7 linked regions of the Cricetulus griseus genome follow. The protein of the gene in region 2 purifies or fractionates together with the protein of the main gene of each other region. This does not show direct contact. Links are inferred from orthologs where the notes say so. Each region holds a gene or a part of one and is shown on either strand. Other genes may lie near its edges. The genes, in order: Kifc1, Kpna2, Polr3c, Mta2, Hnrnpu, Phf10 and Prmt1.

Region 1 (4,546 bases), on a different chromosome or scaffold from region 2:
AAATTCAAATGTCTTTTGGGTATGGATAATATTAAAAATTGTTTCATGTTGTCTGTGCTCTATAAAGGCTGGCACTGGAGTTGGGTTACAGCCTGCTTTCTCCAGATGCAAGCATGGTTGTTTAGAAGTTTCCTCCAAGATCTTTTTTTTCCTGGTTCAGGCAGCCACCTGACTCTGTGACAGGGAGAAGGAGAGCAAAATAGAACAGCCCAGGAGAAGACACTATGTGCTTTAAAACAGGTAAAACAAAGTATTCCCAGTAGAGAATACGGCTGCCTGTCTTCCATTCCTTTCCTTGGTTTTATTAAACTCTGTAAAGTACACCCTCTCTTAATCTCTAAAACTTTTGCTTTTTTTTTTTTTTTTTTGAGACAGGGTTTCTCTGTGCTTTTTAGAGGCTGTCCTGGAACTAGCTCTTGTAGACCAGGCTGGTCTCGAACTCACAGAGATCCACCTGTCTCTGCCTCCCGAGTGCTGGGATTAAAGGCGTGCGCCACCAACGCCCGGCAATTTTTTTTTTCTGGCTACACTTTTATAATTAAACAAGTTTGTTTATTGAGCCTGAGGTGGTGGCACACGCATTATTATTATTTTGTTTTTGTTTTTTTCGAGACAGGGTTTCTCTGTGGTGTTGGAGGCTGTCGAACTCGCTGTTGTAGATCAGGCTGGTCTCGAACTCACAGAGATCCACCTGCCTCTGCCTTCTGATTGCTGGGATAAAGGCGTGCTCCATCAACACCCGGCTAAGCACAAGCCTTTAAAAAAATTCATATATTGCGTTCAGCCTGCACACACTCCAGAAGAAGGCAGCAGATCTCATTACAGATGGCTGTGAGCCACCGTGTGGGTGCTGGGAATTGAACTCAGGACCTTTAGAAGGGCAGCCAGTGCTCTTAACCTGTGAGCCATCTCCCCAAGCCTGGCACAGGCCTTTTGATCCCAGCACTCGGGAAGGAGGTGGAACTGTGAGTTCGAGACCAGCCTGGTCAACAGATGGAGTTCAGGGCAGCCAGGGCTACACAGAGAAACCCTGTCTCGAAAAACCAGACAAAACGAACAATATTCATTTACTTATCTAGGGGCGCAGGAAGGGAGGTCAGGGATTACCATGCCATTTCGCATGACATTTGGAAACACACTGCAACGGTTCTGTAGTCTCATCTTCCGCCTTCTCGTGCTTCCCCCCCCCCCCCTTCTTTTATCTCTCCTCTTGCGCTGCCGATTGAACTCGGGGGACCTCAGCATTCTAGGCAAACGTCACACCTGTCGGGCTGGCGACGAGCCTGCACTTCCCGCGGTCTCCTCTAGGTGGCGCTCGCTCCGCCCCGGCGCTGCGCAGGGCGCCTGGGCACATGCGCGTTGCCTTCCCTCCCGCGGACCCGCCCTCCCCCGGCTCCTCCACGCACGCGCGCTTCTGACGCAGCCGACGCCTCGGGAAGCCGAGCGGAAGTGCAGCGCGCTCGGCGCGAAAGAGGGGGAGAGGGCGGGGTTTAAACAAAAACAAGCACCAAGGGAAAGCGGATACGGAAGTGGGATCCCAGGGCCGGCACAGCCGAGGGCGTGGCCCCGGGGCGGGGAGCCCTGGGATTGGCCCGCGGCCGTGTCGCCGGCGCCGATTGGCCTCCGCGGACGGCGGTGAGTGCGCGGCGCGGCGCGGCGGTTGAAATTCAAAAGTGGCGGGTGCGGCGCTATCCCGGCTCCAGACCACTTCGCGGAGGCTCTGCTCGGGCTGCGTCGCGCGGGCTCGCGAGAGGACGACGGCCCCGGGTCGCTGGCCCCGGACCCCTTCCTTCCCTTGCATCCCGTCCCGGGCCGAGCACAGTGGACATGCAGGCGCAGGTGAGCGCGGCGGGGCCCGGCTTTATTGCAGTTGGTTAACGTGCTAACCCCATGTTAGCTAGGGCCTTTAATCCGTCCACTATGGTGGATGGCTAGGAAAGACCCAGAAGAAACATAATTTAAAACTGATTCAGTAACATGAAACTGGGAGTGTGACCCCGGCTCCCTGGAGCTTGCTCTGTGAACCAGGCTACTCTAGAACTCTGCCCACCCCTGCCTCCCTAGTGCTGGGATTAAAGGAGTGCACCACCACTGCCCGGCTGGAGGAAGGCAATTTTGTTGGGATGTTGGAAGTGAGATTTGTTTAGGAGATAAATTGAATGCAGAGACTGCTCTCTGTCGCTGGTTCTCAACCTTATTAATGCTGTGACTTTAATATAGTTTGTCGTGTTGTGGTGCCCCCTGCCCATAACATTGTTGGTAGCTGTAATTTTGCTACTGCCGTGAATCACAGTGTAAATATCTGATGCTCAGTACAGTCTAAGGGCAGTGTCTACCAGAGAACACTGTGGAGAGAGGGGCTTTTGAGGTTAGAGGAAATTGTCCTGTCTTTTGTACACTGATTGGAGTGATATTTGTTTTTGTTTTGTTTTTCGAGAGAGGGTTTCTGGTTTCTCTGTGGCTTTGGAGGCTGTCCTGTAACTCACTCTGTAGACCAGGCTGGTCTCGAACTCACAGAGATCCACCTGCCTCTGGCTCTCGAGTGAATTACTGCTAATTCATCAGCAGTAAAGTTGTTCTGGTTTTTGTTTGTTTGAAACAGGAGCTGACCATGTTACCCTGGCTGGTCTAGAACTGGCTCTGTAGATCCAACTGGCCTCAAAGTCTCAGAGAGTCAGTCACTGTTGTTCTTTTGTTTAAGCTGCAGCTGCTAATAAGGAAAGGAACAACGAATAAGCAACCCACGTGGAGTTTATTTATCAGAGAGGGGGGAAAGAGGGGATGGGCAGTCAGCCAATCCTAGGGAAGCCGAGAGAAAAAGAGTGAGGGGTGTGGGGCAGGACCTTTTAAAGGGAAGATTGCATATGCGCAGTAGGGCAAAGGTCGAAAGGCATGGCAGGTGAGTGAGTACTCGCTTGTTAGGGGGCGGGGTTAGGGTCATCCAAGTGTTTTGTTCTTACAATCCCGGCTGTTGTTTATTATAAAAGTTAGAGAATTGGGCGTGGCAGGTTAGGGAAGTAGGGGCGAAGATGTCTTAAGGCTGCTTCCTGCTGGCCTGGGGCGTTGATCGTCTTTGGGGGGTTGGGGGTGCTGCCACGTCCTGGAGTTGATTGTTGTTTCATTGTAGTCCGAGCCACTCTGGTGCCTTTTAGACCTGGCAAGATGTTTGTAGAATAGAGGACAAGGTTAAGTTTAGAAAAAAATTTTCTTAGGTCCTGTCATTTGACGGGAAGATTGTAAGATGAGGGAGGGGTTCCCGAGGAGTCCCAAGATGAGGGAAGGGAAATTGGGACTGGGGAAGGGTTGGATATTACCTGGAGTGAATCTGACCTGTTTGGATCTGATTCGGCTCCCTGGAACTTATAAGAGTCCTTAAAGTTTGGGAAAACAAAGATTAGACATATTAAATCATATCTAGGTGGTATGAAATCTTTCTGGTTACCTTTAACCAGAAGGCACAAACACTTGGTGATCCTTGTATCTTTAGATCCATGGTTTTTTGGCTGGCATTCCTGTAACAACAGCTAAGTAAATTATTGTGAAATACTTTGGAAATTAATGAGCAGAGTGTAATTAGAAAACAGCCTTGTAAAAATTGAGCCTTATTCTTCTGAAATAGGAGGTAAAGTGGATGATTTCAGTGTCCTCTGAAACCTAAGGGAACAGGGTCCTGTTGTAGAAACTGTGTATGAAGGGTGAGTCTCAGGTGGAGAAGTAAAGGGCTTGAGGTGGGATAAGTGAATCCAGTGGGGAAGGCCCTCAAGCTTAGCTGCTGTTGGAGTGACAAGAATTACTTTGAAAGGGCCCTTCCACTTAGGAGACAGGGGGGAGGGGCTCTGGTCTGGGGGAGAAAGAAGTACTTGATCCCCTATGTTAATTGGAGAGGTACAGGGGGTGGCACATGGCCGAGGTAGAGAGTGGTCAGCAAATTCCCAAAGGAGGGAACGGAGATGATGAAGTAAAGGTGTGAGCAAGCGGTCAGGGAGAGGCGAGGGTTTAGGTGAGAGGCCAGGTGTTAGAGCCGGCCGCCCGTACATGAGTTCAAAGGGTGAGATGAAAAGTGGTTGTTTAGGGAGAGCCCTAAGCCTGAAAAGGGCCAGAGGCAGAAGCTTTACCCAGTCAAGGTGAAGTTCCTGTGACATTTTAACCAGAACAGTCTTTAAAGAACGGTTAGTTCTCTCCACCTTCCCTGAGGACTGGGGGTGGTATGGAATATGAAAATGCCAAGGAATATTGAGAGCTTTAGACAGGGTTTGAGAGATCTGAGAGGTAAACTCAGGACCATTGTCTGACTGAAGAGAGGCTGGAATCCCAAACCGGGGGATAATTTCCCTGAGAAGGATGTTAGAGACAGTCTGAGCTTTCTTGTTAGTAGTAGGAAACGCTTCTACCCATCCTGAGAAAGTATCCACTAGTACCAGGAGGTATTTAACTCGCCTGACTGTGGGCATGTGGGTGAAGTCAAGTTGCCAGTCAGTCCCTGGGAGAGAGCCCCTAGCCTGGTGGGTGGGAAAAGGGGAGTTACGATACCTGGAGTTAGGGTTTG
Region 2 (3,824 bases):
TGGGTTAGCAGATGGGGTAAATAAAGTAAAAGCTATCCAGTCCTGTTTCCATGAGAATTTTTTCTTAGGTGAGTTTTTATTTTTGTGGCAATCAGAGGACAACTTGCAGGAGTTCTTTCCATCATGTGAGTCCTGGGTTGTCAGGCTTGGTGGCAAGCACTTGAACCATCTCCCCATCCTCTTCCCCCTTTAAAACATTTGAAATAGGATTTCAGGTAGCTTAGGTTGACCTTAAGTGCACAATCCTTTTGCCTCAGTCTTTCCCATGTTGTACAGATTTTTAGATACCTTTATTTTCAAGGTACCTTGGAAATAAACTTCAACTTTTGATTTTCTTTTTTTGTTTCCCCTTAGGAAACTGCTTTCTAGGGAGAAACAACCTCCTATAGACAACATCATTCGGGCTGGTTTGATCCCAAAATTTGTGTCCTTCTTGGGCAAAACGGATTGTAGTCCCATTCAGTTTGAATCTGCTTGGGCACTTACTAACATTGCTTCTGGAACGTCGGAACAGACCAAGGCTGTGGTAGATGGAGGTGCTATCCCAGCATTCATTTCTCTCTTGGCATCTCCCCATGCTCACATCAGCGAGCAAGCTGTTTGGGCTCTTGGAAACATTGCAGGTACTTGTACTTAAAATTCTTTGGACTGAATGTAGCCAGTGTGATTAAAGGACACTGTTAAAGGTCCTGGTGACTTCTGGGTGGGGCCTTGAGCTTGCTCTAGGCCCTCCCATATTAGGAGGGGAAGAGGCATCTCACCATGCTGCTGGAGAAGCGATTGAGTATGTGACAGTCATTCAGTAGCAGATTCACTCATTCATCGTGTTTTTTTTTTTTTTTTTTTTCTGAAACTGGGTCTCACTGCTTACCACTGACTGTAGACCAGGTTAGCTTGGAACTCACAAAAATAGATCCTAGAATTAAAGGTGTTCACCAGCTAATCTTGCTTTCTGTTTCAGGTGATGGTTCAGTTTTCCGAGATTTAGTTATCAAATATGGTGCAGTTGACCCACTGTTGGCACTTCTTGCAATTCCTGACCTGTCTTCCTTGGCAGTAAGTTAATACCATAAATAAAGTATTTGGTTCTTATTTTCCCCATCTACTCAGAAATGAGCCTTATAATTAACTTTTCTTCCCCACAGTGTGGTTATTTACGCAACCTTACCTGGACACTTTCAAACCTTTGTCGCAACAAGAATCCTGCACCCCCCCTAGATGCTGTTGAGCAGATTCTTCCTACTTTAGTTCGTCTTCTGCATCACAATGACCCAGAAGTATTAGCAGATTCCTGCTGGGCTATTTCCTACTTGACTGATGGTCCAAATGAGCGGATTGAAATGGTTGTAAAGACAGGAGTTGTGCCCCAACTTGTGAAGCTTCTAGGAGCCACTGAGTTGCCAATTGTGGTAAGTACTGACCTTTTATTTACGAGCTTTAATAGTACAAGAGCATAATCAGTTGGTAGTATTGATACTGCCTGTGACTTTTGTAGAAGTTTTTGAATAGAGAATTTTTAGGGTGATGGTGGCACACACCTTTAATTCCAGCACCGAGAGGCAGAGGCAGGCGGATCTCTGAGTTAGAGGCAGACAGACTCCAAAGCCACAGAGAAACCCTGTCTGGGGGGGGGGGAACGAATTTTTAGAAGCCTGGAAGAATAATACCATGTAACTAATCTGCAGCAACATTTTTTCTATTTCAGACTCCTGCACTCAGAGCCATAGGGAATATTGTCACTGGAACAGATGAACAGACTCAGATTGTGATAGATGCAGGAGCACTTGCAGTTTTTCCCAACCTGCTAACAAACTCCAAAACTAATATTCAGAAGGAGGCCACGTGGACAATGTCAAACATCACAGCTGGACGCCAGGACCAGATACAGCAAGTTGTGAATCATGGCTTAGTCCCATATCTTGTTGGTGTCCTCTCTAAGGTAATGAAGTGAGTGTAGGATGTAGTCAGAAGATTGTTAATATTTATGACAGCCTATATGTCTTTAATCCCTGGGCTTGGGAGGTAGAGACAGGAGGAGGATCTCTGAGTTTGAGGACAGCGAGCTTCTGTTAGGTAACAGGCAGCAAGCACCTCCTAATGTTGGGTAGAACCAGCAGGTAGTTTAGTTCTGTCTGTGGAACAAACCCTACCTTTTGGAGTCTAACCTCTCGGGTTTCTGAACTAAAACCATTTTCTTCTTGCTTATCAGGCAGACTTTAAGACACAGAAGGAAGCTGTATGGGCTGTAACCAACTACACCAGTGGTGGGACTGTTGAACAGATTGTGTATCTTGTTCATTGTGGCATAATAGAACCTTTGATGAACCTCTTAAGTGCAAAAGATACCAAAATTATTTTGGTTATTCTTGATGCCATTTCAAATATCTTTCAGGTAAGTCCTAACAAGGCTGTGTGTTTGAATTGAGTTGATAGTTACTATTTAGGACTGGGGAGAGGACAGGTAAGTTTGATTACTAATAGTCTGCAGAATCAGAAGGGTGTTCATGTGCAGCCTTACTTTGTACATTTACTAATGAATTCTTAGTGGGGCAGTGGTGGCGCAGGAGGCAGAGGAAGCAGATCTCTGTAAGTTCAAGACCAGCCTAGTCTACAGGGCTCAACAGAGAAACCCTGTCTCAGAAAGAAGGAAAAATTCTATGTGGATCGTGGCTGGAGTTATACTGGTGTGCTGACCACATAGGTGCTGGGAATCAAACCCACATCCTCTGCAAGAAAAAAAGCTCTTAACCACTCACTGAGCCACTTCTCTAGCTCCTTTAAGGATGGGAAGGTGTCAAGTGGCCTAGGCTAGCTTGAACTCCCTATATAGCTGGAGATGTCCTTGAATTTCTTTCTGAGCCTATTGCCTCCACCTCTCATGGTTTTCACCACACTCCACACTCAGTTTTATATGGTGAACTACCTCACTAGTCCCATGGTTTGATTTTGTATTTTGGTGCTCCTGCCTGCCTGCCTTTGTAGCCGTTGCTGTTCTGGAACTTGCTCTGTACATCGAGCTGGCCTCAAACTCAGATCTGCCTGCCTCTGCCTTTAATCTTTCCCGAATGCTGGGATTAGAGGCCTGTGCCACTTCCACCTGGGGATTTAATTGAAATAAGTGTCGTTCCCCGCCCCCCAGCCCTATCCCTATTTGATTTCAAGTGTGCCAGCATCTGACATTTTGTGATAGTATTTCTACTAGTTCTGGAACTTTTCAAGTTGAGTGTAAGTTGGTATTGGTAGCTCACACTTAAAATCCTAGCACACAGGAGGACTGTGATGAGTTGAAGACCAGCCTGGACTACATAGTTCCAAGCCAGTCTAGATTATAGAGTAAACTAGAACTTTTTACAAAAGAAAGTTGAGTCTAGAGAAAGGAGTCACTGGTGTTTCATGCCTACATGTATGTAAATCTTTGTCATGTGGCCAGGTTTCCTGCTCACAGGAATCAGTTAAAAGTTGAAAATTTGGGGTCTGGTGTTGGTGGTGCACGCCTTTGATCCCAGCATTCATGAGGCAGAGGCAGGTGGATCTCTGAGTTCGAGACCAGCCTGGTCTACAAGAGCTAGTTCCAGGACAGGCTCCAAAACTACACAGAGAAACCCTGCCTCGAAAAAAAAAAAAACAACAAAAAAAAGTTGAAAATTTGGATGCCAGGTAGGGTGGGTGTTACTTGCCTTTAATCATACCACTCAGGAGGCAGGCAGATCTCTTGTTCTCTATAGAGCAAGTTCAGGGTAGCTCGGGCTTCATAGAAACCCTGTCTTGAAAACAACAAAAAAAGTTGTTTGGAAGGAATCTTACTTTATATAATTAACGCATAG
Region 3 (3,824 bases), on a different chromosome or scaffold from region 2:
CTGTTTAGAAAGATGCTGAGGATTGCTTGAGTTCAGGAGTTCAAAGCTAGACTGGCCTTTCTCATGAAAGCCTTAGCATTTTAGACATTACATTTCTATTACTTTTATAATTACACTTACTTAAGTCTTGTTATTATACTTTATATTATTTCTAAGTTTTTGTAGTTGGTTGATTTGTTTGGACAGGGCCTGGTCTGGAACTTGCTCTGTAGACCAGGCTGGCCTCTGTTTCCCTATGCTATGATTAAAGGCCCTGCTTTCTGAGTTTTTGACCCTTGTAAATTTGACCCTTGTAAATTTCATGAGTTTCTTGAGCCTTGTAAGTTTTAGCTTCCAGAGTCTTAAGAGCCTCCCTCTGGAATGGAAAGTTTAACTTTGGAGACTTTGGCTACACAACAACCCACAGTCTTCCCGTCTCAGCCTCTGGGATAGCTGGTATTAACTGCAGATATGCACCACTGTACTTGGTTGTACTTTCCTTTAATTAATTACTTATTAGTAGACATTTGGGTTGTTTCTTATTTTACTCTGTTTCTGTCAGGGTCTGACTATGCAGCACTGACTATTTAGAACACACTCTGTAGACCAGGCTGGCTCCAAACTCAGAGATCCACCTGCCTCTGCCTCTCAAGTTCTATGATTAAAGAGGCTCACCCCCTTGGCCTTTGTTTTACTCTTATAAACAATGATATATGAATATTTTTAGACATTTTTATGTTTTGAAATCTAACATTAGGACATCTGGTTTCAGTCGTGTTAGCAGTTCTGCATTCCCAGGCCCCACTTCCAGAATCCTCTTCTGTTTGTTCACAGATCTTCAGGTCCCTGCCTGGCAGCTATAACATCTCTAAGCAAGTCCTTGATCAGTACCTCACACTGCTGGCTGATGACCCAGTAAGTCTCCTCACCCTCTTGGTCTAGTTAAAATTTATCTCTGCCACTAAATCCTAATATTCTCCTGTAGCCTTCTTGTCTACTTAGGCATCCCAGACAAAGTCCCCATCATTCAGCAGAAACTACCTGCTTCAGATGCTTGGCCAGATTTGCTCCACGGCAAGCAGAATCACTGGACTTTACATTCAACTAACATCATTTACTCTTTCTTTTTTACAGCTAGAGTTTATTGGAAAGTCTGGCGACAGTGGTGGAGGAATGTATGTCATCAGTATCCTTGTCAATTGTCTGTTCTGTCAGAACCCCTGAGTTTGGAAGCAGAAGGGTGACCTAGAAAAGATTGTTTTTTGTTTTCTGTTTTTTTTTTTTTTTTTTTTCATTGAAATAGTCTCATGTAGCCCAGGCTGACCTTGAACTCACTGTGTAGCCTAGTTGTTAGCACTGAACCCCTGATCCTCCTGCCTCTACCTCCCAAGTGCTGGGATTAGAAGCATGTGCCACCCCAGGAAAGGAGTTTTCTGATCCCTAATATAACTAAACAACTTCAAAAGTTGAAATAACTTTCTATTAATTTTCTGTGAACTTTCAGTGAGTTACATTAATGAAAATCAAAACAGCCCGGGACTGCCATCATTCGGTAGCGCCTCACTCACAATGTACAAGGCTCTGGGCCAGACCAGCAGCCCTGCAACAGAGAAAGAAGAAGGTGGGAGAGGTGAGGCAGAGAGCTGGGGAAAGGGAGTATGATGGTCAGTGCTTATAATCAGAGCAGCTTGGAGACCGAGACAGAAAAGTTGAATGTTCAAAGTCAGTCTGGGATACATAGTAAGATACTGTCTCAAAAAAGGGGGGAGAGGCTGGAGAGATGGCTCAGTGCTTAAAAGCACTGACTACTCTTCCAGGGGACCCAGGTTCAATTCCCAGCACCCACATGGAAGCTCACAACTGTAACTCCAAGGTCTGACACCCTCACACATACAGGTAAAACACCAATGCACATAAAGTAAAATTAAGAAATAAGTTTACTTAAGTAAAATCCTTGCAAATGTTAATATACTTATATTATACATGAATTGTGAAGAGCAAAAATTATTTAATTTTTAGTTATAAACTTGGAATTTAGTCATAAAACTAAGTCACAATGACCAGGCCAAACATTACTGAATGCCCTTAACCTCTACAATAAAGACCTCCATAAGGCATTGGCCTCCCTAGCCACCGCGACTCTGGAGTCTGTCATCCAGGAGAGGTAAGAGGCTCTCTGATTGGGGTTGGACTCAAACACTTTCTAGCCGCACGCCATTTAACAGGTAATTTGGTTTTTATGGTATACTTTGCCATGCACACTTTCATCTTCCAGTGAAACTATTCTTCTCTGTAAAACTAATTCCTAGTTAGTAAATTAACCAGCCATCCTAAAGCTCTGTAATACAAGAGCCGTGGCCCTCAAAGGAGTGGGCATTTGGTGACAAGTTATGATTAACAGTGCCATCACCAACTTCTGAAGCTATGAAAGGACTCTTGACTGCTGTCCCCCTCTGCTCCTGACCCCACATATGGAATAGTACATCCACACTCTGAGATAAATATACCATGTGTTTCTTTGTTCCTTCCCAGATTCGGGTCTCGCTGTGCCAGAATATTCCGTCTGGTATTGCAGAAGAAACACCTGGAGCAGAAGCAGGTGGAGGACTTTGCCATGATTCCTGCAAAGGAGGCAAAGGATATGCTGTATAAGATGCTCTCAGAGAACTTCATATCACTCCAGGTAGCCACAGCTTTATTGCCTGCCGAGCGGCAAGCCTGACCAAGGCAGGAAAACCTCCTAAGGAAGTTACTTTGGGTTCCCAAGACAGACACTACAGCCACCTCTGAAACAGAAAAAAAGGATTAACACAGACATAGCAAATCCATGAAGAATCATGTAGAGTTTATCTGGCCTAGTAAGAGAGACAGGCAGAGCACACCAAGAAATCAGCTCTAGGCTGTAACTTTCCTGCCCTTTTCAGCCCCCAGCCCATTACTCCTGACCTTCTGAGAGCCTTAAATCTTTAATAACTCATTCAGCGTATCTTGGACCCTTGTAGAACTTATGTTGGGGAACTCTGTTGAGGAAGCAGATTGAATGGATCAATTCACCAAGCAAGTCAACTACCATCATTTCCATGTCTGTAAAATGGTGGTGAATGATGAGATAAGAACAGTGCAGGGCCTGGTGGTGGTGGCACTTGCCTTTAATCCCAGCACTTGGGAGGCTGAGGCACGAGGGTCTCTGAGTTCAAGGCCAGCCTGGTCTACAGAGTGAGTTCCAGGACAGTCTCCAAAGCTACAGAGAAACTCTGTCTCAAAACACCAAAAAAAAAAATAAATAAAAATCAAACAAACAAAAACAGTGTTGTTTAGGCCAACTGTGGTAGTGTGTACCCAGTACTTGGGAAACTAAGGCTGGAGGATTGAAAATTTGAGGCCATCATAGCTATGCAGTGTTACACTGTCTCAATTATTAATAAGTAAGGTATTATGAAAATCAAATACAATCCTCCTGGCATGTGTAGAGTTTATTCAGTAAATATTAGAAGCCTTTCCTTTCTTTCAGGATGCTGATAGAAAAATAGGAAGCCAGGCAGCCTGCTTCATGTGGTGATTATGTCATAAACATCACTATTGATTGCCTAGGGAAGAAAGAAGTGTCAGTAAACATGAGGGCTGACTGTGCCAGTGGATGGGTGTTTACTTTGCCAGTTCCAAAGAACAATTTCTCTTTATTTCTGTGGACATACAGGAAATTCCTAAAACCCCAGACCATGCCCCATCCAGGACCTTCTATCTGTACACGGTGAATGTACTGTCGGCTGCCAGGATGCTGTTGCACAGGTGCTATAAGGTAACAGAATTCGGGCTTTCTCCGTCCCTCACAGATGGCCTCACCC
Region 4 (4,558 bases), on a different chromosome or scaffold from region 2:
AGATGAAGTAAGGCAGATGATAACTGGAATAGAGAGGGAAACAGGAAAGCTCAAGCGCTTTCCTGCCCTCTAGCTTCCGTCAGCTTCGTCAATGTTTTGGCTTCACCTCCAGACGACAGGATAAGCCTCCCCCATTACTATGCAGGATTCTCAAAACAGTATCTTCCTCTCCACCTTGACCATCGCTCACTAACCACTGTCCCAAAGTACCCAAAATGTCCCCACGTGCCTTCTCTAAAGCTCTTTTCATTCCCTATCTAAGTATCTCTCCTTACACACACACACACACACACACACACACACACACACACACACACACACACACACACACACACACCACATTCTGGCTTTTCTGATCATGGTCTCCCCACCCGGCTTCCAGCCCCAGCCCCAACATGTAACAACAGGCCTTGCTCTGCAGACCAGGCACTTCCCACCTCCAAACTCATACCCTGCCTTGGGCGTGTTACCAGGGGAAACACCTGCAGGAACAAGTCTAGTCCTCAGATCCTGGGGAGGGGGGAAAGGGGAAGGAATGAAGACACTCACTAGCATTACTGTCAGCCAGGCTGTTGAGGCTACTAGAAATATCCCTTCTCCTGAAGAGACAGACAACCTTTGCTTCCACATTGCCATTGGCAGTCTAAAGAAGGAAGAAAAACAGGGCAATGAAAATTAGCCATTTGAAAGTGGAGGTACACTAACAGGCACTCTCTAAGGACTTAAGTAGAAGAGGCCAAAAACTCAGCAATGAAGACTTAATATTCAAAGATAATTACAGGACCAATGAGATGGGTCTCCATAAGTTTGCTAACCTGATCACACAGAAAGTTCCAGGCAACCAAGGCTGCAAAATAGACACTGTATATTTAAAAAAACAAAAAAAAAACAACAGAGACAGGATTCTTTTATCCCCAGATGTGAGAATGATAAAGCTTCAGCTAAGCTCTCAGCAGCTCTATACATGGAATGAACGCTCGCTCACCTGTATAGGCTCTAAGCCTAGGTAAGGCTGGCTCTCCCTTCCACTTGGAGTTAGACTCCAGAAGAAAGAAACTGCTCCATTTCTGCTCCACTCACCTTGTTTAGCTCCTCAATCCGTCTAACCAGGTAAGGATTGCTAGAGGAGTTCTCAAAATAGACGTAATCTGTAGAAGGGGGTGGGGAGAAACAAGATCAGAAGAAAACCAGAGCACCCAGAAGAGAAAGTGGATTTGGGTGGACCAAAAAAAGACAAAATGCTAGGTAGAGATGTGGAGATGTGCAAGAGGAAAGACTTAAGAAAAGAAGTATAGCTGGGTGTTGGTGATGCACGCCTTTAATCCCAGCAGAAGCAGGTGGATCTCTGTGAGTTCGAGACCAGCCTGGTCTACAAAAGCGAGTTCCAGGATAGGCTCCAAAGCTACACAGAGAAAAACCTGTCTCGAAAAACCAAAAAAAAAAAAAAAAAAAAGAAAAGAAAATAGGTATTAGAGAAGGTGGTGGCGCATGCATTTAACCCCAGCACTCAGGAGGCAGAGGCAGGTGGTTCCCTGTTGAGTTTGAGACCAGCCTGGTCTACAGAGTTAGTTCCAGGACAGCCTCCAAAGCCGCAGAGAAACTCTGTCTCGAACCCCACCCCCCATCCCCCCACCCCCGCAAAAGAAAAGTATTAGTTGGGCAGTGGTGGCCAACAGCACTCAGGAAGCCGAGGTAAGCAGATCTCTTCCAGTTCGAGGACAGCCTGGTCTATAGAGCAATTTCCAGGACAGCCAAGGATAGACAGAGAAAGCCTGTCTCGAGAAAACAAAAGAAAATAAGTATCAACCGTCTCGAGGAAAAAAAAAAAAAAAAGAACGAGAAAAGAAATAAAAGAATTATCCAGACAGTGATTGCTCACACCTTTAATCCCAGCAGAGGGAGGCAGAGGCAGGTGGATCTGAGTCCGATGCCAACCTGGTCTATTTCCTGAGTTCTAAGACAGCCGGGGGGGGGGGGCGGGGGGGGAGGGAGAAAAGTTTTTACTCCCACCCTTGCAACACTTAGCGCTAAAATCAGATTCTCACTCAAAAGTCAGATCCTAGCACTCAAGAGGATCTCTGAGTTCGAAGCCAGCCTGGTCTACAGAGTGCGTTCCAGGACTGCCAGAGCTACAGAGAATCCCTGTCTCGAAAAACCAAAGAGACAGACAGACAGAGTCGAAAAACCAAGAAGTGAGAGAGGAGGGGGAAAAAGATAACAAGGATTTCCCTGTAGTCCACACAACTCTGCATTGGAGTTGCACCCCTGCGTGGGAGAATTGAGTAAATTGTTCCCCCCACCTCAGGCCTCACCTTCGTGAACGAACAAGCCGCCAAAGAAAAGAAAACCCCTGAGCGACTGGCTCCCCGCAGCTGGCCCCGCAGTCACTCAGTCCCCTTCCAAACCAAGCCTACTTCCCACCCCGGGATCCAGTCGCAGACTCAAGAGCACCGATCGTTGTAGGTAAGCCTCTGCGGGAGACTCGGCTCCCAGTAGCGTCGCCGCCGCGGAACCATAGGTCTCGGTTCCGGTTCCGGTCGGCGCTGTGGCCCCTACGACCCCAGATGTTGCTCCCCGCGCCTGCGGACACCGAGTCTCCCTGGTCCCGTCCCCAACCTCTTCCGCCCGGTGTACTCACCTCCCACACGGTACATGTTAGCCGCCATGGCCGTTCCCGCCGCGGCCTCCGGCCGCACAAAGAGGACCCGGAGGCTCGCGGGGGTAAAGCTTAGCTCCAGACGATGCCCCCAGCGTGGGGCTGACGCTTCGCGGAAGTGTCGATGGGGCCCGCGCAGCCGGCACCTCTGCTCGCTCAGCCGTCGCGGTTCATCACTGCTCGCACGAAGACCACGACGACACTGCTATAGCCTCACGCCCGGGATACCCAGGCCGGCGCCGGTCTGCTCGGCTTCTTCCGGAACGAGCTCGGTTCCTGCCTGACCGGAGACAGATTCCGGCTCCTAGCGTCTTCACCGAGTCCCAGCAGACGCCGTATGGTGCCAGCCCCTGAGAAGGTTTGCCCTGCCCGCGTCCGGGTTCGCCTCCTTCCGGAACACCTTCGGCCGATCCGGAGAACAAGGCCCAGCGCTCGGCTCAGGTCGGAGAGCAAGACCCCGCAGATCGGCCACTTCCGGAAGGAACTCGGCTCTTTTCGCTCAGCCGCGGCCCCGCGCTCGGTTATTTCCGTTGCAGCTCGACCCCGCCCCCGAGGGCGGCAGGGAGCCGCATTTAACTCTTTACTCTATGTGTCCCTGCAGCTCCGACAGTGGCCTCGCAAGGCGCGCGCGCACCCTCGCGCTTCTTGAGGTTATTTGCAAGCCGCTTTGCCTGTTATTTGCATATTTGGTCCGAGCTCCTTTTTTCCCTTCCCGCCCTGCACTTTTTTCTTTCATCCCAACCCTACCGGGCCCCTGAGGCAACCGCCGCACTCCACAAAAGCACCAAGCGGTGACTTTCTTTCTTTTTATTGCCCCTCACCAGGCAAAGGGAGTCAGAGCTGGGGTTGCCTGGTTCAGCCAGCGAGTCGTTATCGTGTGTGCAATGGGGCGGTTCGCCCCTCCAGGAAAATGCGCAACTGGGAATGTACTGAAATCAAAGAAAAAGCCAGCCCAGGAAAAGGGCTGCACTTGGTCCTAGGGGTTTTGGCCAGGGCGGGGCAAGGCCACAGTACCAGAGGGACAAAACCATCCAGCATTCATCACACGTCCAGGGAGGAGGCAGGGGACAGAGAGGGAGTTCTAGAAGGCGTGACAGGAGAGGGCCCAGAGCCCCCAGCGCCCAACACTCGCCACTGAAAGATACTGGCGTCCTTGCCACCTAGGGAGACGAGGTATGAGTCGTCATGCGTGAACCGGACGCTAGTCACGTGACTGCCGTGGCCTGAGTACATACGGCTTGGCGCCTGCACCAGAAAAAAATGTACAGTCACAGCAGTGATAGGGTCCCAAGACTACCCACTGGGGCCCAACGGTCCTCTAAAGACTCACCTTGGCTCGAGCGCACGGATACTGGAAAAGGTGTACTTTGCAGAAGTCGTCTGCTACAGCCACCACACGTTCATTGTGGGAGCGGCAAAGGGAGTTGATGTCTGTCCCATCAGAGCCATCAGGCCACACACCTAACACAACAGGTAGCCTCAGCCAGGGCACTTTCCACAACCTAGAGCTGCAGTGCTTAGGATTTCCAGGCTACCTCCAGACAATCCTCTCCATTCCCAAAGGGACCTGTTGGCCTGGATTTGCCTCTCCCCCCCCCCCCGCCATGACACATGACACACACCCAACATTCTGATCCAAGAATGGGTTCCACCTTCTTTTCCCAGCCCTGCTAAAGGGCTCGGCTGCATGCTGGCTTCACTACTTACCATACACGTGGAAGCCTAGCACACAGGTGTAGGTAGCCCACTCCCGGTCTCTGCTCTCATAGCGATTCCTTAGAAGCTTGCAGCCTCCAGCCACGTCCCCTAGGTAGAAATTGCCCCAACCAGCTCAGCTGGGAAGGTGACCTGATCCATTATGAACCTCACTATGTGATTTCTGAGTTCTCACTGTAGTTTGAT
Region 5 (4,540 bases), on a different chromosome or scaffold from region 2:
TTGAAAGGATCAAAATACAAATCTGACAGCTAAAGCCCATTTCATGGCTTGCAATACTTCCTCATACTCTAAAGTAGCATATTTACAGCGCTGCCATTGATACCATTCGCTGCTGAAGAAAGCTAGTGGCTCAGATAGCCCACTGCTGCTGCCCCAGGTCTTTGGAAGAAATCAACTTATGTTAGAGCAGCAGCTACTGAACTGGAATTGAGAACAAAAGAGCAGTTATTGAAAAGGTAATATGACAATCCTTAGAATAGGGAATGTACTTGTGCGCTAATGGGAAAATCGTTAGTAAGTATTCAACTAGCCCAAATAGCTCACTTAATATAGTAGCTCCACAGAAAAATTTTAATTTTCATATTACCTATCTAAGGACATGTTACAGGCAGGTTTTAAAAACAAGTTTCTGAAAGCTGAACAAAAATCGGTATTAGTTTTACATCCCTAAATATTGGGAACTTCCATGACATAAGTATCAATTAGTAGAGCTTGTAAAAACAGCAATACAACTGAAGTGTCGCTAAACATAAAACTACTGTAACCTGAACATGAGCTATTATCTTCCTGATTTAAAACAATCTAACGGGTTTTCTCCACTTTAAGATATACAAACACACTTTTCCTAAGAGTTAAACCAAAATAGCACTGCACTTAAATATTTGAGAAAAAGAGCGGGAAAGTTTGCTTCACTTACAAGTATCAAGACAAACCACTGTGTCATCGAAGTGTTCGTCTTCTTCTTCAACAGGTGGCTGAGGAGACTTGGCTCTGAAAGACAGAATCGTCTCCTGATAAAGCTTTCCCAACCACGCATAAAAACTGGGTGACAAATAAAACTAGGTTAGGATCCTCTACCTGCTGTACTTGTTTTCTTCAATGTACTCAAAATATCCTCGGCCATGATCTTCTCGCGGTCTTTTAACACCTCTCTTTTTATCTCCTCCTTTCTGTTCTGTTTTACCGTCTCCTATAACGACACAGAACACAGCCTTAAATCATCAGGCCACAGACTGAATTATAGAGAAAAGCTCCCGTTTCTGTTCCGGGACTTTTAGGGGCTGTTATTTTTTCCCTCCTAGACTGGATCTCGGACTTTTTTATTTTTGGTTTTTCCAGACAGGGTTTTTCTGTGTGGCTTTGGAGGCTGTCCTGGAACTAGCTCTTGTAGACCAGGCTGGTCTCGAACTCACAGAGATCCGCCTGCCTCTGCCTCCCGAGTGCTGGGGAAAAAGGCGTATGGCACCAACGCCAGGCGAGTTCTGAGACTTTTTAACCCACGAAACTAATATGAATCTAGAAAAAATCGTATCCATCAGCCTGGAACTGCACTGGAGACGGTGACGCAGTCTAAAGACGCTGCTAATCCTGCCAGCCTAGGGTAACCTTCCGGAATGCATTTAAGGACTAAAACCGCGCGCCCGCCGTCCGGGCCCACGTGCTGCGCGCCGTGCGCGCGGCGGCGGCGGGGGGTGTGGGGGGGAGGGCAGGGCAGCGTGGGCCCGCCTCCCCTCCCCCATCCGAGCCCGCGTGCCCCGCCGCCGCATTGTACTGAGCTTCCGCCTCACTCCCCGCGCCCGGCGCCTCCCGCCGGAAGTGACGTCACACCGAGCCCCTGCGCTCCTTGCACAATACCGCGGCGCTGAGCCGCCAAAGCCCGCCCGCCCCGGGACCTTCCCCCTCCCCCCAGACATGTGCCCGAACCGCGCGCACGCAGCGCTCCAGCGGCCGCCGCTCCCGCCCGGCTCCTCCCCCACCGCGGCAGCTGCAGCTCCCCCCGGCGCCCGACACACATAATGGAGGAGGCGCCGCCGGCATGGCGAGCCCATCCTCTCGGCGGCCCCGGGGCTCCCCCGCCCCCCCCGCCCGCCCGCGTCGCTCGCCCCTGGGGCCCCGGCCGGCCTGGGGCACGGTCCCCACGCGGGCCTACAAGCCGCGCGCCCGCCCGCCCACCACGCAGCCCTCACCCGCCGCCTTCCGCCTTCCTACCTCCGGCCTGCGGCTGGCCCTGCCTCGCCCCGGGCGGCGCCACCGTCACCGCGAAGAGCGAGGTGGGGCCGCTGCTCTTGCCCGCGGCCTCCTTGCCGGCCCCGCGCTGCTGCGGGGTCTGCGGGGCCGCCGCCGGCGGTTGGGACTGCTGCTCCCCGTGGCCGTTCTCGTCGCCCGCGCCCTCCTCCTCGTCGCCGAGCTCGTCCTCCCCCTCCTGGAAGCCCTGGTCGTCGCCGTTCTCGTCTTCCGACGCCGCCTCCTCCTCCTCCATCGCGCCCGCGTCAGCCGCCCCCGCCGCCCCGTTCTCCTCGCCCAGCTCCATCTGGTCGCCGTCCAGGGCGGCGATGCCTTCCTCCTCCTCGTCGTCTTCGGCGCCGGTCGCGGCCTCCTGCTCGAGGCCCGTCCCCGAGCGCCCGGCCGCATCGCCGCCCAGGTCGAGGCTGCCGTTCCCGGGCTCCATGGCGGGGCGGCCGCCGGCCTCGTTGTCCAGCGCGGCCTGGAGTCGATCCATGAGATCGGCCTTGAGGCCCTTGTCGGAGAGGCGCCGCTTCTTGAGCTCCTCCTTCAGCTCCGACACCTTCAGCTTCTTGACATTAACAGGCGAAGAACTCATGGTGAGGGCCCCGGTTCACCGCGGACTGCTGGCTCCCTCGGCCTGTGGCGGCGGCTGCTGGTCGGCCCGGGCGGCGGCTGCGGCTGGAGATGGCTGAGTGCTGCAGAGCGGACCCGCCTGGTGTCGAACGGCGCCAATTCCTTTCACCGAGTTCGCGAGGCAAGACGCGGAGACTCGCCTGGCGCGAGCGAGCACGCAACGTCCTCTCGCCGGGGCGGCGCCGCGCACGTAATATAGGCGCCCCGCCCCCTGCCGGGGCGGGGCTCGCTAGGGCGGCTGCGCGCGCAGGCCCCGCCCCTTCCCCGCCCCGCCCCCACGGGGCGACCTCGGCGCTGGGCCCCGGCGCGCAAATGGAGGCTCAGGAAGCCGCCTTTCGGTTAAACCGACTGGCCGCGGCGGCCGCCGGCCTTTCCGGCTTCTCGGCGGCCGCGCTCCACGGGCCGTCCGCCTCCGTGGGCCCGGAGGAGGCTCCCCTGCACCCGCCCTGCGTCCTCATCTGGCATTTCCCGCTGGAGGACACCCTCCTTTCTTCCATCTTAGTTTGTCTTTTTTTTTGTCTGTCCCTCCGGCTCTCGCTTTAAGACTCCGCCAAGTTTCCGCTGCTGCTCCGCAGAGCACAAATAAGCGGCTGTTAGACAGAGGTGGTTTTTTGTTTTGTGTTTTGTTTTTTTCTTCCTCCACTTCATTGCAGTTTAATTTTTTACAAGCCCTGCCTTGCCGATCGGACTTTTTAAGTTCCGCAAGGGCGAGGCCCCAGCGTTTCTTTTGTCTCTTCCATACCCGGTGGTGCAAGGCCTGGGGAGGCGCAGGCTTGCCCTACCGCTCCGTGCCGCACGGCATGCAGTGTGGGCCTTGTGCACTTCTCACCGTCTTTACTAGTGACCCTTGAGTAACCCCTAGAATTGCATGGAAGATTCCCCTAGACTCACTGTAAAGACAGGCCTCTTGCAGGAAGGACTTCCCTTAGTTAACCATGAGAGGGACATCCAGCTAAATTTTAATGCACTTTGATTCTCCCCGTTTTTTCAGACACACACTGAGTTGTCTACACACTTGCAGTCCTATCTCTTGGCAGACTGAGGCAGAAGTATCAAGAGTTGAAAGCCAGCCAGGGCTACATAGTAAAGTCCAGGCCGCCTTGGGCTGTATAGTCAGACAGACCCCATCTCAAACAAACAAACAAAAAATTGTTGCTATTTTTCTCTGTAATTAAAAACATGTTATGTTCTTGAAACTTTTAGGTAGAAATAGAATTTATTTTCTGCACGGGCCATTCTGTGTAGATTGTGCCTAATAGGTGTGTTTATACAGGTCTATAATTACAACCCTTGGGAGATGCAGGCAAGAAGATCAAGAATTCAGTCAGCCAGGCAGTGGTGGCACACACCTTTAATCCTAGCACCAGGGAGGCAGAGGCAGGCAGATCTCCCAGCTCCAAATATCCTGGTGTACAGAGCTATTTCCAGGACAGCCAAGGCTAAATAAAGATGCCTTGTCTCAAAAAACCAAAAAGGTTGTGTGTGTGTGTGTGTCATCTTTGGCTACATAAAGAATTTAAAGCTAATCTGGGCTACCTGAGACCCTGTTTCTACAAAACCAAGTACTCTGGCAGTAAAGCTATGGTTGGCCCTGTCTTCTTTCTGTGCATCTGAAACTTGAAAGCATAGAAATGAAGTTTATCCTATTTGGCTAATATAACTTAACCTGTTAATAAAATGATTCCTTTGGTTGATTAGTTTTGTTTTTGTTTTTTTTTTTTTTTTTTTCTTCTTGAGACAGAGTCTCTAATTAGCCCCGGCTGTCCTAGAGCTCAATATATAGATCAGGCTAAGATCCTCCAGCCTTTTCCTCCTGGGATTAAAGGTATTCACCACCACACCCTGATGAAATCATTTTAAAAAGCATTTTATCTTACTCCTGAGTCATGAGCCAATAGGA
Region 6 (3,810 bases), on a different chromosome or scaffold from region 2:
TGAGAACCTGGACACAGTGAAGCCATGTGCTTAGGGTGCAGCAAGAGTAGCTGAGTAACAGCTGCTGTCAGATGCCGGGAGAGCAGGGTATAAAATACACAGAGGATGGAGAGCAGTCAATGGGGACATTTTATATGTTTGTTTAACTCCATGATATTTATTATTTTGTAGAGACATTTGTGATTGTTTAGATATTGTTTTTATCATATTTATGTATAAGGTTGACTTTTTTAAAAAAATAAATAAGCCAAAAATTGTTTTTGAATGCCTCTGTCATCTTTTGCAAAGAAAATATTTTTAAAAAAGTAAAAGCAAATTATTATTTAGGTTTGACAAGGTACGAAAGTGGCAGTGGAACATTTAAAGTGAGACTGCTTTATAAAAGTTTGAGTTTAGATCTCTATGGTGCATCAGGAAAGAGATGCAATGCGTTTGACTGTGTTAGATTATTGCCCTGCTACCATCTTTGTCCCTCCCACCTTTTAACCATTTATTGACGCACACCTATATATAGTACATGTGAGCAGCGTCCGTGACGGTCAAGATTATGATGCTCTGTTATCCCTTCCTTGCCCTGGCATTGTAAGTGTAGGAAACTCCTTATATTTTATCCCATTCCATGTTTAAAGCCCAAATACTGTGTGTGTTTTTAATGTGAAAGATAATACTCAAAATATGCTTTGTATATTTCCTATTTGACTATAGTTTTTCCATGCCCAAAAACTTTTTATGTTTTACACGTCACAGTGACTGCTTCTCTCTTTTATCATAGTTCTTTTTAGACATGGAACAAGACTATGCATCCAACTCAGATTTCTATAGACATTTATGCATGACAATGTATGGACAAGACAGCTTCCAATTAAAATACTGAAATAGTGTCTTTTTTTTTTTTAGCTTAGATTTTGTAGGCTTAGCTCTATCACTGGAAAAACACCAGTTTTTGAAATAAAATGAACATAAGCTTAATATAAGCTTAAAACTTAGGCTTAGCTTTATGTGTGGTTATTTGGTATATGGATTTTCTTTCCCAACTATTAGTGGCATTTGACATCCTATTTCATTTTTCCTTCTGGTCTTTTTTTATAGAGATGATGCTGTGTGTGTAGGGAGCAGAGTGCTACATTTAGGCAACACACGTTGATGCGGTTTATGGAGTACAGTCTAGGCTTTCATTAGTTGGGGGTTTTATATTCTGATCCATCTCATATCCAGTTATGTCTTACAAAAAGGTTTTCATTATCAGATTACCAAAAGTAAAGATAAGGTAATAACAGAATCCCTTTTGAACCCATAGTGAGTTCTTCTGGCATGAATTTATAGCCCTCTTCTACCCTTCCAGCCAAAGGTCATTCCAAATGCTCTATGTGGAATTTGTCTGAAGGGTAAGGAATCCAACAAGAAAGGAAAGGCTGAATCACTTATACACTGCTCCCAGTGTGATAACAGTGGTAAGTAGAGATGTCTCCTTAAGATTTTACCTCACCCCTGCATATTGCCTTAAAAGCTAGGGTTTGTAGTTATCAGCTAGGTATCCACCAAAGAGTCAGCAAATGAATAGTGACTTGTTAGCTGTAGTCAGAACCCATGTATCTGCTACTTTGTATTTTGATGTGTCTATGGTAACATTAATCCTGGCAGCCATTCTTGGGAACTAATGTTTTATGTGCCTTAAGTTGAAAGTTCTGTTGTGAAATCCTATTAATGTTGGTTTTGATTTAGGCCACCCTTCTTGCTTGGATATGACCATGGAGCTTGTTTCTATAATTAAGACCTACCCATGGCAGTGTATGGAATGTAAGACATGCATTATATGTGGACAGCCCCACCATGAAGAAGAAATGATGTTCTGTGATGTGTGTGACAGAGGTTATCATACTTTTTGTGTGGGCCTTGGTGCTATTCCATCAGGTAAAGATGAAAAAAATACAAAAAAGCCCATTATCTTGTGTGATGAAGATCTCCCAGCATTCTTTTAAGGCTGTATAAATGACATGAACATGTTCCAATTATGATCAAGCTGTTACTGTCCATGTCACAGCTACCTGATTTTCATCCTTAGTGCAACCAAAGGAGAATTGAAATAGAATACTTAGGTTAGGTTTGGAAGTATTGTCTGAGGGATAGAATGAGCTGGTGTTTTCTACTAAAATTGCTAAAGTAACACCACCAGTTTGTTTCAATGCTTTCATTTTATTTTTAAGTTCGTCTATTTAGAAACTTAACAAAGTGACTGCTATGCCTTTATATATATACTAAGACATCTTCCTATAAAGTGAGGCAGCATGACAATTCCAGAAAACTTTAGGATGGACACAGAATCAAATAGTAAATCACAGTAATCCTATTGAAACATTATACAGGTAATTGTGCAATTTTAAGGACTTAAGTTGCATAGTTAACACTGTATAGTTCTCTATAAAACTCAGTTTCCTGGAATCCCTCCGTAAGGATGTGAATAATCACTCAGGTTCTGCAGTAATTCAGCTCAAGTGTGTGGTGCAGGTGCTAGTGTCAGAACAGTGGAACAGGCCACACAAAGCCAGATCCATTAACAAGTTCTACATTAGGATTGTGTTGTTGAGGTTTTAAAAGCATGATGGTATTTGAATTTTAGGATTACATATTTTTTTAAGGTACAAATGATTGTTTTGTGCCCTTTCCCCATCTTGTCTGTGCATTGAATTCCGAATTGTATTGGTTACACTGATTAAGGGTTGTTTACATTTTCTCCCTTGGCTTAAGGAGCTCAGTACTTCCCTCCCCACTGAAAAAAATCCCAGAGAGTTATCACTATGGACAGCTCAGGAATGAGTTTAGGTGGTTTGTACTCAGTCCTATAAAAATAAAATTCCACTCCATATTAACTAACAATTTTTCTCCTAGGTCGCTGGATTTGTGACTGTTGTCAGCGAGCTCCCCCAACACCCAGGAAAGTGGGCAGAAGGGGAAAAAACAGCAAAGAGGGATAAAATAGGTTTTTGACCTGACCCTCAGTTTGGGATATCTGGTGCCATTTTATTTACACTTTCATTTTTATGCCAATAAAGAACCTTTTTTGAAATTAACTATGACCTTAAACATCTTCAAGTTGATTTATTTCATTAGTAGCAACTCATACCCTTGAAAGAAAAAGTCAGAGAGAAATGTCTCATTTCCCAGATTTTAATCTCTTAGTGCTGTCTTTTTCCAGAGATCAGCAGAAAGAGGTAGCAACTTAATTTGAAATATTTCTTCTTGAGTCTGAAAAGTTACAGTCTTTTGAGACTGTCTTGACCTGCTTAGGTAGTATCAGTTACTTAATAACCAGAGCACTCCAATCTGGCCAACAGAGGAAAGGACAGAGGGCCCAACCATCTGGTACAACTGGATTTGGAATAGTCACCAGCTGGCACAGCAACAATGTGTAAATGCTTGCCTGCCAGGAGAGTATCAGGTTCCACAATCCCTACTGTGCACAGTGGCTCTGGGAAGCTTTTCCGACCTGGCTTTAGAACCTCTTTAAAACTGCAAGTGCCGTACTCCATTTAGTATGTCTACAGAATACATTCTACAGTCACCAGCCTTTATCTGAGTTATACAGCCTGTTACTGCAATAATCTTCTTACTCACCTGACTAACCAAAATGTATTTAAACATTTTATTGAGCAGACTCCTTTTTATGGGAATTTTAATCTCTAAAATAATTGTGCTTGCTGCTTTTCCTGCGTGGGGAGTAAACTGAGGTAACAAAACTGTATGGCTTTATTTTTCCATCCTAGTCTAGAAAAAAAGTAACCAGAATTTCACCAGGTCAAGTAGCAAGGTCCA
Region 7 (4,297 bases), on a different chromosome or scaffold from region 2:
AACTAGGGTGGAACTGTAAAGCGGGAATGGAGGTAGTTTAAGGATTGAGACATTGTCCTGGGGGTGCAGGGAGGCCCAAAAAGGCCATAGGCAGAGATGAGCTGCAGGGATTGGCAGGTGGGAGCACTAGGGCTGAAGGCCTTGGGGATTGACAAAACTGACGGAGGGAATTGGAGGGAAAAGCCCAGAGGCTATTGATATTTGGGATGAAGTAGCAGGATAGGCAGGAGTCAATCAAGAAATCATACTGAACCAGGCAATGGTAGCGCACACTTTTAATCTCAGCGCTTGGGAGGCAGAGACAGGAGGATCTCCGAGTTCCAGGACAGCCAGAGAAATTCTGTCTCGAAAAAACAAAAAGAAAAATCATACTGGCTGGAAGAAGTTTACACAAGCCTTAAATCCCAGCACTTTGGAGACAAAGGCAGGCTGTACCATGAGACTCTGCCTCACACCAGATACCTTACGTGTGCAGCAGATGGTGCAGTGCTTGCCGCTCAAGACTTGACACACGCACGCACACGCACACTAAACAGTGTTAGGAGTCGGAAGGAAGAAGGTCATCTGAGCACGAGGAGGCCTGGAGTGGAGAGGCACATTTGGGAACTTAAAGGACCCTGTGCTTGGGCCGAGTACTGGTGGGACAAAAGGTAAGAGGCAGGGGCACAAACCCAGCAATTGGCATCCATCTTCAGGCCAGGAGTAACTTTCTGCAGATCCAGGGAAACTTCCTGGAGGAGATGGAGTCCAAATTGCCGCGTGGGAGTTGGCCAAACAAAGGGAGATGGGTGTTTCATGCAAAGGACTAGGAGGCCACAGGTCTTCAGAACTCGGCACAGTCCAGTACAAGGTTATGGCTCATCGCACTGACATTCACTACGACTCCTGACAAGTTTCAGGACCCCTGATGAGAACGCCTCCACATCTACTCACAGCGACTCGGCATTTTCCCCTAGCTCGCCCACGCGCCCCAGTTCCGGAGAAGCCACCGAACGTTGATGACTGATGTTCCTGGGAGCCAATCGCTTCCGCCCAAAGCCCCGCCTACCTCCTTGTGGGCCAATGGTCCCTGTCGTTCTTGGCCAGTCTCTCGAAGGGACTGGAACAAGAGCCCTGCAACGTCACGTTTTGCTCAGCTAATTGCGGCGACGGAGAGGCGGGCCATCTTAATGATCCACAGCAGAGTCTCTCGACATCCGCTTAGCGCGGAGCCCGCCGGGAAGCTTCAAGGCGGAGCTGGCCGGAAGGAGGCGGGAAGACCTGGTGGGATATCCTCCAATCATCACATGCGCTGCCTAAGATAGACAGACAGTTGTTCCCTTCCTAGCCGACAGGAGGGGGTGGTCCTTTGAACGCTAGGAGGGGAGGGCGCCCGAATTTTGATAGACGTGCTCAGCGCCCAATTGCAGTGCGAGGCGGTTAGATTGACGGCTGCGCCAGCCATTGGAAACTTATGGCGGGGTCTCGGGGGCCGGGCGGTGGACCCTCTGGTAAAAGGCGGTCCCCGGCCGGGGGGAGAGAGAAGAAAGGGGGGGGTCTCGGAGGCCGGAGGACTCGGGTGAAGATGGCGGCAGCCGAGGCCGCGAACTGCATCATGGAGGTGAGTAGCTGGGCTCTTTAGGCCAGTGGGTAGGGGGAGGACGACGGGTTACCCACGGCCTGAACTGTGGAGACGGGGCCTTGGGTGTGCTGGGCCTCGCGGAGGTCCGCATCGGGGGATGTGTTCAATCGTGACCGGGGCGACCCCAGCTTATGGGACTCTCGGACCCCGCAGTCGAGTCGAGGGCCGTCGCACGTGGTCGCGGGCCGGGGGCGCGTCCAGCCGGGCCGCACGTGGTCGCGCAGCGTAGCGTGGGGAGGGGGGTGTGCCACTCGAGGGGCCCCGCGGGTTCCACGTGCGGGACAAAGGCCCCGCCCCCGGCCCGGTGACCTGGGCTGCACTCCGGGGGTCCTGGGGGGTGCCACCTGCGTCCTGCTGTCCGCTGGGTGGTGGACATCCGTGCACCCTCGTGGGGCCTGACCTCACTTTCCTCCACTCTGAGTTACCCCTGTGCGGTTGGGGGGGGATGGGCAGAGCCCTGTGACCTCTCTGTTAGAGGATGGTGGGGCATCTCCACCGAGGAGATCCGGATCCGGCGCCGGGCACCCCCTCGTGGTCATTATGGGCTTGTGAAAGGGGCTCTTTTTCATGGGGCGTGGCCCAAAGCCCACCCCCTCATGGAAGCGCCCTCGGGTGGATGGTCAGAGGTCGGTCTTGGGGCTGGATGGCTATGTAGGCACGCAGACCAAGGGGCCTTGACCCCCACCCGACCCCTTTTTTAGGATTCTCACCTTTGCCTAATTTCCCCCCCAAAACAGAATCAAATTCTAGCACCTGGCTTATTTGCTTACAGTTGAGTGTTTCCACCCCTGAGCTGTATTCCTCAGTCCACTTTTTACTAACTTTGATGCAAAGTGGGTCTGGCCTTGAACTCACCCTGTAGCCCAGGCTGGCCTTGAACTTGCCATCTTTGCTTAAGCCTTCCGGGTAGCTCTCGTGAAAGACTTCACTACTAGGCCTGTAAATCAGATCCTCTCCTAGTCTCAGGTTTCAAACCCTCTTCAGGAAGCCGTGTGGTGGTGCATGCCTTTAATCCCAGGACTCGGGAGGCAGAGACAGGCGGATCTTTGTGTGTTCAAGGCCCATTAGAACAAGTTCCAGGACAGGCTTCAAAGCTACACAGAGAAACCCTGTCTCAAAAAAAAAAAAAAAAAAAAAAGCCAGAAACAGAACAAACCCTCTTCAGTCAGTTGTTAACCTGCTGGTATCTGTACTACTGAAAAAGAGAGGCCCACATGGGAACTCCCCCCACTGGCTACCCGACCCCTGAGGTGGTAGATCGTGGCCTCTCTGGCCTTAGATAGCAGTCATCTATCTAATGGGATAATGATGGGATATAATCTGGTGGTACCCATACCTCTTCAAGTTCTCTGGAGAGGAAGGTCAGTTGCTGGGACACCTGCCATGGGGATCAGTTCGCCTACAGTGTCACTGAAGTGACCCTGGGCCTGGCACTTGTGGACAAAGGAAAAAGAGGGCAGTTTTCAGTGTGGGGACCAAGGTGGGGTGTGAAAGGGGGGGCTTTCGTAAGCTCACACGTGGCGGTGGGGCTCAGGCGGATTTTGGCAGAAATATTTATCGTAACAGCTTGCCCCAGCTTTCCAAGGCATATTTTGTACTCCTGGGGGGCAGCCCTCTTCCGGGGGCAGGTAAAACAAAGAGCCTTGCTCTGTGTGTTCCTTGCCCGGGTGGAGCTGGGGTGGTGTACTCACTGTGGTGTGGGGGTATGCCACATTTCTCTATTGGAATGATCTTTGGCCAGGAGACAGGATTGTGATGGGGCAGACAGGTGCCCAGCACCCATTACCTGTCAGCCCCCTCCGGTTTATTCATGGCACTTCAGCCTGGTGTGTCTGTCAGGAAATGTCACCTAATCTAGGGGGGATTAGGTAGTGAAGGGGAGCAACAGCTGAAAGTGCCCATGTGCCTTGGCAGGTATTGGGCCCTCTGGCCTAGATAGGGTAGGTATGTGTGGCCAGTTATCTGACCAGAGAGGGACAACATGGGGCGGGCCACCATCTCTTCAGCCAACAGCTGGGACAGGAGACCCCACCTTCCTTTCCCTCCCCACTTGTATCCCTTCCTTACACAACTGCAGCCACACTGCTTGCTCCTGCTTACACCACTCCCATGCCCAGGAAAAGCCAACCTGCAAAACACTCACTGCCCCAAAGGCCTTCCCCAGCCACCCCAGTAGCTAACCCTTTTTCCCTGTTACTCTCTCCTAGAATTTTGTAGCCACCTTGGCTAATGGGATGAGCCTCCAGCCGCCTCTTGAAGAAGTAAATATCCTTTTGTGAGACCCCCCCAGCCCACTTGCATATAAGCATACTTTGATATGCACCTGGCTCCTCAGGAGGTCTATTCATCCTCTTGCTTCAAACCAGTTTCCCCTGCTGTGGCCCCTAAACACATAGGACAGACCCCTTCCTGGCCCAAGCTGGCTCCCCCAGAACCATGGCTGCTTCCTTAACTCCATCTCCAGCCCTCCTCCTCTGGCTTTCAATGTGTCTGCCCTGGCTCTGCCCTCCCTTCCCTCCCTCCCCAGCTGTGGGCTGAGCTAGAGACGGGCATAGAGCCTGGAGAGATGGTAGGCGAGGCGGCTGCTCCCTGGATGGTGCTCTGGGTGGGTTCTGAAGTGGATACCGTCCCTTGGGAAGAAAGATGCCGGAGGGGGCTGTAGGGCTGTCCCATTCT

Evidence for each region.
Region 1: the proteins of Kpna2 (region 2) and Kifc1 purify together in Homo sapiens (co-immunoprecipitation; 4 studies listed by BioGRID and IntAct, with this or other methods). This does not show direct contact. The link is inferred for Cricetulus griseus from reciprocal best matches to the Homo sapiens genes KPNA2 and KIFC1.
Region 3: the proteins of Kpna2 (region 2) and Polr3c purify together in Homo sapiens (co-immunoprecipitation; 3 studies listed by BioGRID and IntAct, with this or other methods). This does not show direct contact. The link is inferred for Cricetulus griseus from reciprocal best matches to the Homo sapiens genes KPNA2 and POLR3C.
Region 4: the proteins of Kpna2 (region 2) and Mta2 purify together in Homo sapiens (affinity purification with mass spectrometry; 4 studies listed by BioGRID and IntAct, with this or other methods). This does not show direct contact. The link is inferred for Cricetulus griseus from reciprocal best matches to the Homo sapiens genes KPNA2 and MTA2.
Region 5: the proteins of Kpna2 (region 2) and Hnrnpu purify together in Homo sapiens (affinity purification with mass spectrometry; 3 studies listed by BioGRID and IntAct, with this or other methods). This does not show direct contact. The link is inferred for Cricetulus griseus from reciprocal best matches to the Homo sapiens genes KPNA2 and HNRNPU.
Region 6: the proteins of Kpna2 (region 2) and Phf10 purify together in Homo sapiens (co-immunoprecipitation; 3 studies listed by BioGRID and IntAct, with this or other methods). This does not show direct contact. The link is inferred for Cricetulus griseus from reciprocal best matches to the Homo sapiens genes KPNA2 and PHF10.
Region 7: the proteins of Kpna2 (region 2) and Prmt1 fractionate together in Homo sapiens (co-fractionation; 3 studies listed by BioGRID, with this or other methods). This does not show direct contact. The link is inferred for Cricetulus griseus from reciprocal best matches to the Homo sapiens genes KPNA2 and PRMT1.

Annotation. Positions count from the first base shown.
Region 1 is NW_023276806.1:232,112,972-232,117,517, forward strand, and holds the start of Kifc1 (kinesin-like protein KIFC1), read left to right. Parts: upstream 1-1,680; 5' UTR 1,681-1,827; coding exon 1,828-1,839; intron 1,840-4,546. UniProt on the Homo sapiens protein: Minus end-directed microtubule-dependent motor required for bipolar spindle formation. May contribute to movement of early endocytic vesicles. Regulates cilium formation and structure.
Region 2 is NC_048600.1:119,941,102-119,944,925, reverse strand, and holds part of Kpna2 (importin subunit alpha-1), read left to right. Parts: intron 1-354; coding exon 355-623; intron 624-961; coding exon 962-1,056; intron 1,057-1,145; coding exon 1,146-1,409; intron 1,410-1,705; coding exon 1,706-1,939; intron 1,940-2,209; coding exon 2,210-2,392; intron 2,393-3,824.
Region 3 is NW_023276806.1:59,781,835-59,785,658, forward strand, and holds part of Polr3c (DNA-directed RNA polymerase III subunit RPC3), read left to right. Parts: intron 1-813; coding exon 814-894; intron 895-1,113; coding exon 1,114-1,165; intron 1,166-1,440; exon of another isoform or gene 1,441-1,579; intron 1,580-2,082; coding exon 2,083-2,143; intron 2,144-2,486; exon of another isoform or gene 2,487-2,511; coding exon 2,512-2,662; intron 2,663-3,676; coding exon 3,677-3,778; intron 3,779-3,824. UniProt on the Homo sapiens protein: DNA-dependent RNA polymerase catalyzes the transcription of DNA into RNA using the four ribonucleoside triphosphates as substrates.
Region 4 is NC_048596.1:51,151,729-51,156,286, forward strand, and holds the start of Mta2 (metastasis-associated protein MTA2), read right to left. Parts: upstream 3,120-4,558; 5' UTR 2,667-3,119; coding exon 2,639-2,666; intron 2,366-2,638; exon of another isoform or gene 2,313-2,365; intron 1,149-2,312; coding exon 1,081-1,148; intron 644-1,080; coding exon 550-643; intron 1-549. Other genes in the region: Eml3 (echinoderm microtubule-associated protein-like 3), read right to left, coding at 3,698-3,901, 3,987-4,117, 4,364-4,462. UniProt on the Homo sapiens protein: May function as a transcriptional coregulator. Acts as a component of the histone deacetylase NuRD complex which participates in the remodeling of chromatin.
Region 5 is NC_048598.1:15,817,309-15,821,848, reverse strand, and holds the start of Hnrnpu (heterogeneous nuclear ribonucleoprotein U), read right to left. Parts: upstream 2,813-4,540; 5' UTR 2,603-2,812; coding exon 1,990-2,602; intron 971-1,989; coding exon 859-970; intron 772-858; coding exon 698-771; intron 1-697. UniProt on the Homo sapiens protein: DNA- and RNA-binding protein involved in several cellular processes such as nuclear chromatin organization, telomere-length regulation, transcription, mRNA alternative splicing and stability, Xist-mediated transcriptional silencing and mitotic cell progression.
Region 6 is NC_048595.1:293,991,402-293,995,211, reverse strand, and holds the end of Phf10 (PHD finger protein 10), read left to right. Parts: intron 1-1,342; coding exon 1,343-1,451; intron 1,452-1,722; coding exon 1,723-1,911; intron 1,912-2,173; exon of another isoform or gene 2,174-2,886; coding exon 2,887-2,972; 3' UTR 2,973-3,081; downstream 3,082-3,810. UniProt on the Homo sapiens protein: Involved in transcription activity regulation by chromatin remodeling. Belongs to the neural progenitors-specific chromatin remodeling complex (npBAF complex) and is required for the proliferation of neural progenitors.
Region 7 is NC_048599.1:153,870,434-153,874,730, reverse strand, and holds the start of Prmt1 (protein arginine N-methyltransferase 1), read left to right. Parts: upstream 1-1,493; 5' UTR 1,494-1,564; coding exon 1,565-1,600; intron 1,601-3,828; coding exon 3,829-3,882; intron 3,883-4,087; exon of another isoform or gene 4,088-4,187; coding exon of another isoform or gene 4,188-4,190; intron 4,191-4,297. UniProt on the Homo sapiens protein: Arginine methyltransferase that methylates (mono and asymmetric dimethylation) the guanidino nitrogens of arginyl residues present in proteins such as ESR1, histone H2, H3 and H4, FMR1, ILF3, HNRNPA1, HNRNPD, NFATC2IP, SUPT5H, TAF15, EWS, HABP4, SERBP1, RBM15, FOXO1, CHTOP, MAP3K5/ASK1, MICU1 and NPRL2.